2 linked regions of the Oryzias latipes genome follow. The protein of the gene in region 1 purifies or fractionates together with the protein of each later gene. This does not show direct contact. Links are inferred from orthologs where the notes say so. Each region holds a gene or a part of one and is shown on either strand. Other genes may lie near its edges. The genes, in order: nelfa and nelfb.

The links.
Region 2: the proteins of nelfa (region 1) and nelfb purify together in Homo sapiens (affinity purification with mass spectrometry; 8 studies listed by BioGRID and IntAct, counting the BioPlex papers as one, with this or other methods). This does not show direct contact. The link is inferred for Oryzias latipes from reciprocal best matches to the Homo sapiens genes NELFA and NELFB.

What each region holds. Positions count from the first base shown.
Region 1 is NC_019876.2:18,438,086-18,442,689, forward strand, and holds the start of nelfa (negative elongation factor A), read left to right. Parts: upstream 1-1,718; 5' UTR 1,719-1,969; coding exon 1,970-2,179; intron 2,180-2,431; exon of another isoform or gene 2,432-2,589; intron 2,590-3,472; coding exon 3,473-3,644; intron 3,645-4,604. Other genes in the region: c18h4orf48 (neuropeptide-like protein C4orf48 homolog), read right to left, coding at 738-826, 1,173-1,284. UniProt on the Homo sapiens protein: Essential component of the NELF complex, a complex that negatively regulates the elongation of transcription by RNA polymerase II.
Region 2 is NC_019871.2:30,111,603-30,116,095, reverse strand, and holds the start of nelfb (negative elongation factor B), read left to right. Parts: upstream 1-1,553; 5' UTR 1,554-1,713; coding exon 1,714-1,815; intron 1,816-2,510; coding exon 2,511-2,671; intron 2,672-2,749; coding exon 2,750-2,849; intron 2,850-3,860; coding exon 3,861-4,091; intron 4,092-4,493. UniProt on the Homo sapiens protein: Essential component of the NELF complex, a complex that negatively regulates the elongation of transcription by RNA polymerase II.

The sequences.
Region 1 (4,604 bases):
GGCCTGTTCACACCGGGACGAATTTCGCCGGCGATTTTCGCCAACGTTTAACGCCTCGTGACTAAACAAAGGGCACCAATGTGAGTGTGCACACCGACGCGAAAAAACGCCACGCGCCAAAGCGTCAAAAAAAAAAAAACGCCTCGGGTTCGTTTTTTTTTTTCGACGGGTCGCGTCGAAATCTATTCGACCAATGAGAATGCCGCTTTTGCACACGTGTCTGGAGCTTCTGAAGTTACAGTAAAACACAACTTGGGGGCGCTCAAACACAAAACTGCCTTGCTGAGCACACATACCAGCGAAGAAGATAGACGTCAAGTAGCGTCTACACTGCCGCGAAGAAATAATGACGGACATTCTTAAATATCCCAGAACGAAGCACCAGTTGGAGCTACTGGTGCTTGAAATATTCATGTTTTCTTTTTATTATTCTGACTAGCGCGTAAATACTTGCTCTCTTCTTCTGAGGGAAAAGCGACTTTAAGAAGCCTAAAGTTGCGCAGCGCCACCTTGTGTACAGGAGTATTTCTGTTTACATTAAGCGCCATCTAATGTCAGGGAATGAAATTGCATGTTCGCTCGGCTCATCGTCAGCGAAAATCGCCTGGGTGTGAACACAAAAAACGTGGCGAAAAATGCTGGCGAATAACGCCTGGCGAATATTAGTCCCGGTGTGTACGGGCCTTAAGACTATGGATTTAGTACTCAAAGCTCTAGAAATCTGGGGAGTCACAGACCCTGGCATCCAGGTTGAAAGCTGTCTTCTTTAGATCCTGAAGCGCTCTCTGCATGAACTCAAAGGCATGACAGTCCACACACGGGCGACCTGAAAGCACAACAGCTAAGAAATAACACACAGCAGGGAGGTCGGACCCCCCATCCCCCCAAAAACACTGATCTTTTTAGGCTTTAGGCACACACACACACACACACACACACACACACACACACACACACACACCCCCACACACACACACCCACACACACACACGTATATATATGTATGTATGTATGTATGTATGTATGTATGTACACACACACAATAGAGGCCTGTGTGGTCCCATTGGGGGATGAAACCCATATATAAGCAAACATAATGTTTTCATTGACAGATTACCGATTCCATCTCAAGTAATAAAAAGAAAGAACCCCCATAGGCTAATGTTACCTACTTTCGGCTGGGATAACGGTCCCCGTCTCCTGATCTGCATCGGCGGTACCGAGGCAAAAGAGCTGCACGGCCAGAAGAACCAAGGCTGCTTGCGCATAGCCACGGGAAGCCATTGATGACGCCGTCGGGTCCCTGAATCAAGATAGGCAAGAAACATTTTTTTAAATAAAAAATCTACAAGGCCGTCCGGAAACTAATTAGCAAAATATGTAATGGTTAGGTTGTTAATTCCCCCCCCCCCCCCCCCCACCCCATCTTAACAGGCACGTTTTTACAAGTCACCTAAAGATTATTATTACCTCAGTGTTATTTACCTGCAGTCAACCAGCTACTGGTGTTTGGAAATCACAGTGAGGACAAACGAGCGCTGGTTGAGGAACATTCACCAAGTGCGCATGCGTCTGGCCAGGCTAAAATTTGCTATGCTTTGGTAATGAAACCGGAATTTCCCTCAAGCTTTTCAGAATAAACGACACATATTTAGTTTTTTTTTTTTTTTATTTGTCCACACCAAGAAACGTATAACCAGTAAAGAAGCAAATAGACTTGTTTTGTGTTAATAAAAAGGGAAACATGAGACTTTTTTAATGTAAACATTTTATACAGTGTATGGGTACATTGGAAATGACAGAAAAGAAGGCGGAGATGCCAATTTTATAGAAAAATATTTAATGTGGTGATCATTAGTTATCAACATAGCTGTTACACGTAACCACCCACTTGTGGGCGGGGTCCTACGAGCTGTTTTCTTAGGTAGCCTGCTAAAATGCCCGAACTCAAAACACTTCTTTTTCCAAGATGGCGTCGATGAAGGACAGCGACACTGGCCTGTGGCTTCACAACAAACTAGGATCAACAGACGAGCTGTGGACACCTCCGAGTATTGCTTCCCTGCTCACAGTGTCAGTAATCGACAATATACGGCTATGCTTTTCCAGTCTGTCGCCGCCGGTAAAGCTAAAACTGCTCCTGGGGATGCTGCATCTTCCCCGGCGGACCGTTGACGAGGTGGGTTGCTGCTGCTAGAGGTTAGCTTGAAAAGTCTCTGCTATTATTCACACAGGTAGGGTTGTAGTTTAGTTCACAACTAGTTGCAGAAAAAAATCTCGCAGGTACTCAGAGAGCATCTCAGAGACATGTCAAAAGAAAAACACATAACATAAAGAAATTTGGATGTAGTAGCTAATTATGGCTAACTCAGTAACTACTAAAAAGAAACCGCAGGTTCGTTCAGTACATTGATCTTCGGTGAGTTTTTACCTTCGCTTCAAGTCAGCAGTGGTCTAAAATTGAATTGGGGTCGGGAGAAGCTGCTCCATAGCTAAAGTTTTGAACGCCACACTAACTTCGGCTCCCCAGCGGCAGTGGGTAGCATTTGCCTGGTGGCGGGCGTTCAGACATTGTGGTGGGACGGACGCTGCTGGAGCGTTAGCTGGGTCGGAGGGCGGAACCAACACTGAGTCCGACATATCACCTGCTCTGCTATGCTGCTCTGCTGCTCATGCTGCTGCCGCCCGTCAGGACCTCTCAGTCTCACCGGAGCCAAACTCTGACTTAGCTTCAGTGATGGGGAATCCAGTAAAGGCAATTGGTGCTTTTATGTAATAATTTTCGTATCCAAGTCATCGCTTTACTTACGACCTAGAATAAAAACCTAATTAGTTGTCGTTTTTTTGTTTTATTTTATTTATTTTTAGAAGACATACATTTTTGTACCTTCCTAAAAAAGTACGTACGGTGCAGAAAAATATTTTGTTCTCGATTGTATATTTTTATCTTAGCGGAAGGGATACAAACTCAAATTCTTTGCAGAATTATCATTTTTTTTGAAAATTCCAACATGTATTTCATTTTATCTGCTCGTCAACCTTGTAAAGTTTTAATTGTTCAAGAACAATAAACTAAGCTAAACAAGAAGAGGGCGGGGTTACTCTGCACCAGCAGACCCGCCCACAATTTAGAAGTGAATTTCTCCTGGCACTCTTCAGACAATTACAGTTTTTTAAATATGTACTAAAAGCGGTATAATCGTAATCAAAAGACCACTTGGAATCCTTTTAAATTAAGTCAAAAGATGATTGGACTTGGACTGAAATTACTGAAGTAAACACCGGAAAACATGACTGACTTTATGTCAAATATCTTTTGAAAAATATTATTTTTATCCCTACTAAGTCGTCTTGATTGAATATGGAGGGTGTGGTCTTTTGATGTGTTGTCTGATGGGGGGGAAAAAATCTTTATAATTATATCTTTTGAGAAATTTGATAATCAAATGTCATTCTTCTGTGTTTTGCCCAGATGAAGGAGGCCTTGTCTGAGATCATCCAGCTGGCTACGGTGGATTCAGAGCCATGGGTGTTGATGGTTGCAGATATTCTAAAATCCTTCCCAGAGACGGGATCTCTCAATCTGGATTTAGAGGAGCAGAATCCAAATGTGCAGGATATTTTAGGAGAGCTCAGGGAGAAAGGTTGGTAAAATCTGCCATCCTGACTTTTATTGGGATGCTGGAGTCTTTAACCTTGTTTACATGTTTGCAAACATTTGAAATTCAAATACTACCAAGAAAGATTCCTCTGCGCTCTTATTATATTTTATATTTTATTTCTCTTTGTGTTTAAAAGCATACATTTGTTATATTTGATACATATGATACTGAGATATGTTGATCAAATTTATAACAGAACAGTTTGTTAGTTTGTTAGTTTAATCTTATAGTTTGTTTTGTTATTGCCCAAATTTAATGGGATTTCTGGTGTTTTATATATTATTTAAACAAAAAATATTTTTACATTATTATTAGTGTCAAGTTACATAGAAATAAACTTTGTCAGTTATTTATTTGTGTCAGGTGTTATTAGGTTAAAATGTTGTTATAAAAATTAGAAACATATCCATGGTTGAAATGTAAAGACTCACTCTGATGAAAATTGTGTTTTTGCTGTTTTGAACTTGTTCTTGTGGCATTTATCTAGTGATGGAGGAAATATAAAGAAAATTCAACTTAAAATTCCATTTCTGAGTATTTCTTTAATGAAATTGTTTTGAATCAGGAGAAAACGAAAAAATGCTGGTGGGAAAAGATTGTATTTGTGATGTAAACAATACATTGGACGGGTCACAAGCTCCCTGCTTCACTCAGCAGCAGGAGAAGGGGATCCTGGCTAGGAACAACATAATCATAAATACAAGGCCACTATGAACTCTTTTAAAACGGATCAAAGATGATCAGAGTGGGTCCTGAAAGGTAAAAAGTAGGATCAAATTAGTTTGGAGCAAAGTATTTCAAAGAAATTCAATGTTTTTTTTTTTTTTTTTTTTTAAAAATCTTTTCCTATCATTAAGTTTTGAGTTTGCTGCCAAACATGAGGTGGAAGGTTTGAAACCCAGTTCACCATCTTCATGCATCAGCGAGTTTGAGGTCTAAGGG
Region 2 (4,493 bases), on another chromosome or scaffold:
CTGCCTGTACACGTGTGTCTCCATTGAAGGACAAACTATCTTGAACGATATGGTAAATGGCGTATACTTATATAGTGCTTTTCTACCTACAAGGCCCAAAGCGCTTTACAGTCACAGACCCTTTCACCCAGCCACACCGCCTTGGGCGTGCAAGGCGGGAATCGAACCTGCACATATGCGATCATGGGTCGACCGCCCTACCGCTGCACCACGGCCGTCCCACTGATATAGTTTGACCAATATTTTTTTTACACCAAAATTTTACCATGTAAATCACTGTATCCTTGGTACATGGCAGGCGTGTCCAAAGTCTGCCAAATGTGGCCCACTTTCAAATTTCCACCCGCCTTCATGGTCCTGCCATAAAATCATTAGACCTTCAGCACTTTCTAAGAAGTACAATTTCTTGAATTTGATTTGCTAAATTACGTTATTAGCCGTTTTAAACCTGTGGCAACAACCTGTAGCAACTTGACCTTTAGAGCCTCATGCGCCGAATAAGAGGAGTGGATTTATTGGTGTCGGTGATCAAAATCACAGTGGTTTGTAGTTCTGAATAAGATAACTATTTGTGTTTTTTCCCCTTTTCACATGATTTAAATTTAGAAGTTTACAGTGAGCATTTAAAGCTCAGGTAACTGCCTACTCAACCAAATGGTAGAGCATCTTTAGAACCCAATTAATGTGTTTCCACCAAGGCGAGAAGCAGCAGAAAAAAAAACATTTTTTAATTATTTTTTCTTGCTTGGTTAGTTAAAGCCCTGAGGACAGGACTGGGACATGGGAAACCAGGGGGCGCAATGAGCTTCATCCAGTGTGGGTCCTTAGCATAGACTATAAAAACAGTTTTTCACTTAGGTAAGACACTTGACGCTACTGCCTTCCTATATAGCTACAAGGGGGCCAATATCTCGGTCACCCTGCCCTGTGGCGGCCCACAGCCCAGTTAAAATACAGGGTTGTGTCAGGAAGAGCATCCGGCGTAAAAATTTCTGCAAAACTATATCTGCGGATGAGTGAAGGCTAATGTATTTAGATAAAGCTCTGGTCCATTTGAGGAAATGAAAAGTATTTAATTGCAAAAAAAAAATAAAAAATCACACAGTTCATTTCTATTTAACGTTATAATGTTTCAAAGAAGGCAGGCCAAATGCCCGCATTACATTTTTAAGCACACCAAATTTAACCCTCTTTGCAAAAATTCGAGACACCCCTGGAATATGGTGTACATTCTTTTTTGTTTGTTTGTTTGCTAACAAAATTCAAAATTACTCATTTTTTCCATTTGAAACATTCAAATCCAAAAATATGAAGCACCATGGCATTTTACAAATAGAAAACTAGAACAAAGTCTAAGCAGCAGTTGAAAACAATATAAAGTAATAAAACTAAGTAATATGTAATCAAAATAAATAAAACATTGACTTATAATGCCAAACTAAAAGAATTATTGCCTTTGTTTCTTTTAATTTTACTTGAACATGGTGTACGTGTGAATGCAGCCACAGCGGGAAACAAAGAGCGGAACGTTTCATAAGGTTCCGTGTTTCCGGCGGCCCTGTTACAGCGCTACAACATTCGTAGACAACCGTTCAGACTTTAGCTGTGCGTTTAATTTGGCACCAACAAAACTGTTGCAACTTAGCCAAAATAGACGAACCTGTTTTTAGCACAAATTGAATTTGTGGGGTTCGTATTGATTAAATTATAAGAATGTTCGCGGGGCTGTCTGAGCTCGGCATTTCAAACGGGGATGATCTGAAGGAAACACTCACCAACTGTACGGAGCCGCTGAAAGCCATCGACCAGTTTCAGGTAAACAACAACAACAACGAAAAAATAATAGCACAAGATAGAGAATAGACGGGTTCTCTATCTTGGCGGGACGACTGCACATTATGTTAGCTTGCATTGTTCTGCATTTTAAACATTTTTTGTGATTAGATAAGTTTTCATTTCTTCAGAGCAAAATATAGAACTAAAATGACTGAGTTTCATATTTGAAGACCAAAAATAAAATTATGAAAATGTCTGTCTGGAGAAAAACCTTTTTCTAAATCTAAATTAGACAAATATTTATTCTATTAAAAAAAAGCGAGTGTGGTTTTGATCAGAAAAACTAAAAAATCTGAAATTTGGCCCTTAAGTAAATGGCGTATACTTATATAGCGCCTTTCTTCCTACAAGGACAAAGCGCTTTACAGTCACAGACCCATTCACCCAGTCACACACACATTCACTCACACATTCACTCACACATTCACACACTGGTGGCGGCTCCAATGAGTTTTGGGTGTTTTTAACGTGTTCTTGTAGCATTTTTCTCATGATGGAGGACATAGAAGTGCATTTCAAGCACTGCTGGTGCAAAGCTATCAAGTTAGGTTTGGGTTTTCTCCAAATAAAATTAAAATCTTTTGACCGATTGAGGCCAGATTATTGTTCATTTGCATTTCTTTTGGTGGTTACAACAATCCCTCACCAGTTGTTGATGTCTCATGTCATCACAGATGGAAAATGGGATTCTGTTGCCAACACTCCAGTCTGCTCTTCCTTTCCTGGACCTCCACGGCACTCCGCGGTTAGAGTTCCATCAGTCTGTCTTTGACGAGCTCCGTGACAAGTTGATGGAGCGAGTTGCTGTTATTGCAGATGGCAAGGAGGAAGATCGGTACGTTTTCAAAAGAAACTAGCTTTTTGGTAGAAGCGAGGTAAATGGATGCTGAAGTGTTGTTGTACCTTTTTTCAGGTATGGAAAGCTGGAGGAATTGCTGGAGAAGAGCTTTCCGCTTGTGAAAATGCCGTCCATTCAGCCGGTGGTGATGCAGGTGCTGAAGCATCTGCCAAAGGTAAAATATTATGCTACAAGAGGAATATAAATATATCTATTATTTTCTTATCGAAACAAATTGGATACATGGACACTAATTATAGAAAAGCTTCATAAATGTAAGTTTTCTGTTTTTATTCTGGAGCATTTACAGCTACATTTGTCTCAATATTTTAAACTATGCAGATAATACTGGATATAGTTTGCTATGATGCATGCATTACAAAATAGTCTCTTTAAAAGGGCCCATCTAATGCTATTCTAAAGCCTTTCAAGTGAACTATTTCCATATATATGAAAATATATTACCTTTGGCCCATGAAAGAACAAACATTTATGAAATATTAGTCATTTTCACCGCTCCTTTTCCTACCCGGAAGAGAGAGGACTCGATCTCTGAGGCTCCGCCTTTTGCTCCTTGTGGGTGCCGCCCATTTCATGACGTCCGCCTAGATTTGGCGTCGGCAGTGTGTCTGAGTTTCATCCACGAAAATAAACAACATTCAAACTTTTTCAAAGATGGATGTGCACATTGTGCATTTAAAATGAAGCAGTTTTTGCCAAACATTGCTAGCTCCAAGGAGAGAGTGTGTGTGTTAGCCGAGGGGGGGCTGGCAGCACCGACTCTTCCTGGAAGGGGCTGTTCCTCACTTATTCTATGAATGCCAGAACCCACTTGTTTTCGTGGGTTTGGAGGGGCTGGTGCTCAGAGAGTGTGTTTTTAGAGGAATCCTCAGAAATGTGTGAATGGATCAAAATACTAAGTTGGGGTTTTTTTTTTTGTGAGGAATTAACATTATATTACACTTAAAAGCTCAAAAAGTTGATCTCTCATGATATAGGTCCTTTTAAAAAGGTGCACCCTGATTCTTGATCCTTGTCTTGTGTGCATTCAGTTGAAGTCTTCCATTTCCATGGTTCCCAGGGAATTTCTTTGTTTCCTTCATCTAATTTGATATCTTTGGAAAACCAAATGTTTTAGCAAAAGGCAAAAAAAGCTTTAGCTAATTATTGTTTTTTTCTGCTGTAGGTGCCAGAAAAGAAACTGAAGCTGGTTATGGCGGACAAAGAGCTGTACAAGGTGTGTGCGGTGGAGGTCAAAAGGCAGATTTGGCAGGACAACCAGGCTCTTTTTGGGGACGAGGTCTCCCCCCTTCTAAAGCAGTACATCGTGGAGAAAGAAGCAGCTCTCTTCAGCAGTGACCTCTCCATTCTGCACAATTTCTTCAGCCCTTCTCCCAAAACACGACGCCAAGGCGAGGTGAGGGATTATTGTTTTTTTTTCGGATGATGTCTCTCACAGTAGACATGCACCTTAAAGGCCCGTACACACCGGGACGAATTTCGCGCGCGATATTCGCCGACGTTTAACGCCTTGTGACTAAACAAAGGGCACCAATGTGAGTGTGCACACCGACGCGAAAAAACGCCAGGCGTAAAAGCGTCATTTTTTTAAAAGCGCCTCGGGTTCGTTTTTTTGGTCTGACGCGACGACAGATGAGAATGGCGCTTTTGCACACGTGTCTGGGGCTTCTGAAGTTACAGTAAAACACAACCTGGGGGCGCTCAAACACAAAACTGCCTTTCTGAGCACACATACCAGCAAAGAAGACAGACGGCAAGTAGCGTCTACACTGCCGCGGAGAAATAATGACAGACATTC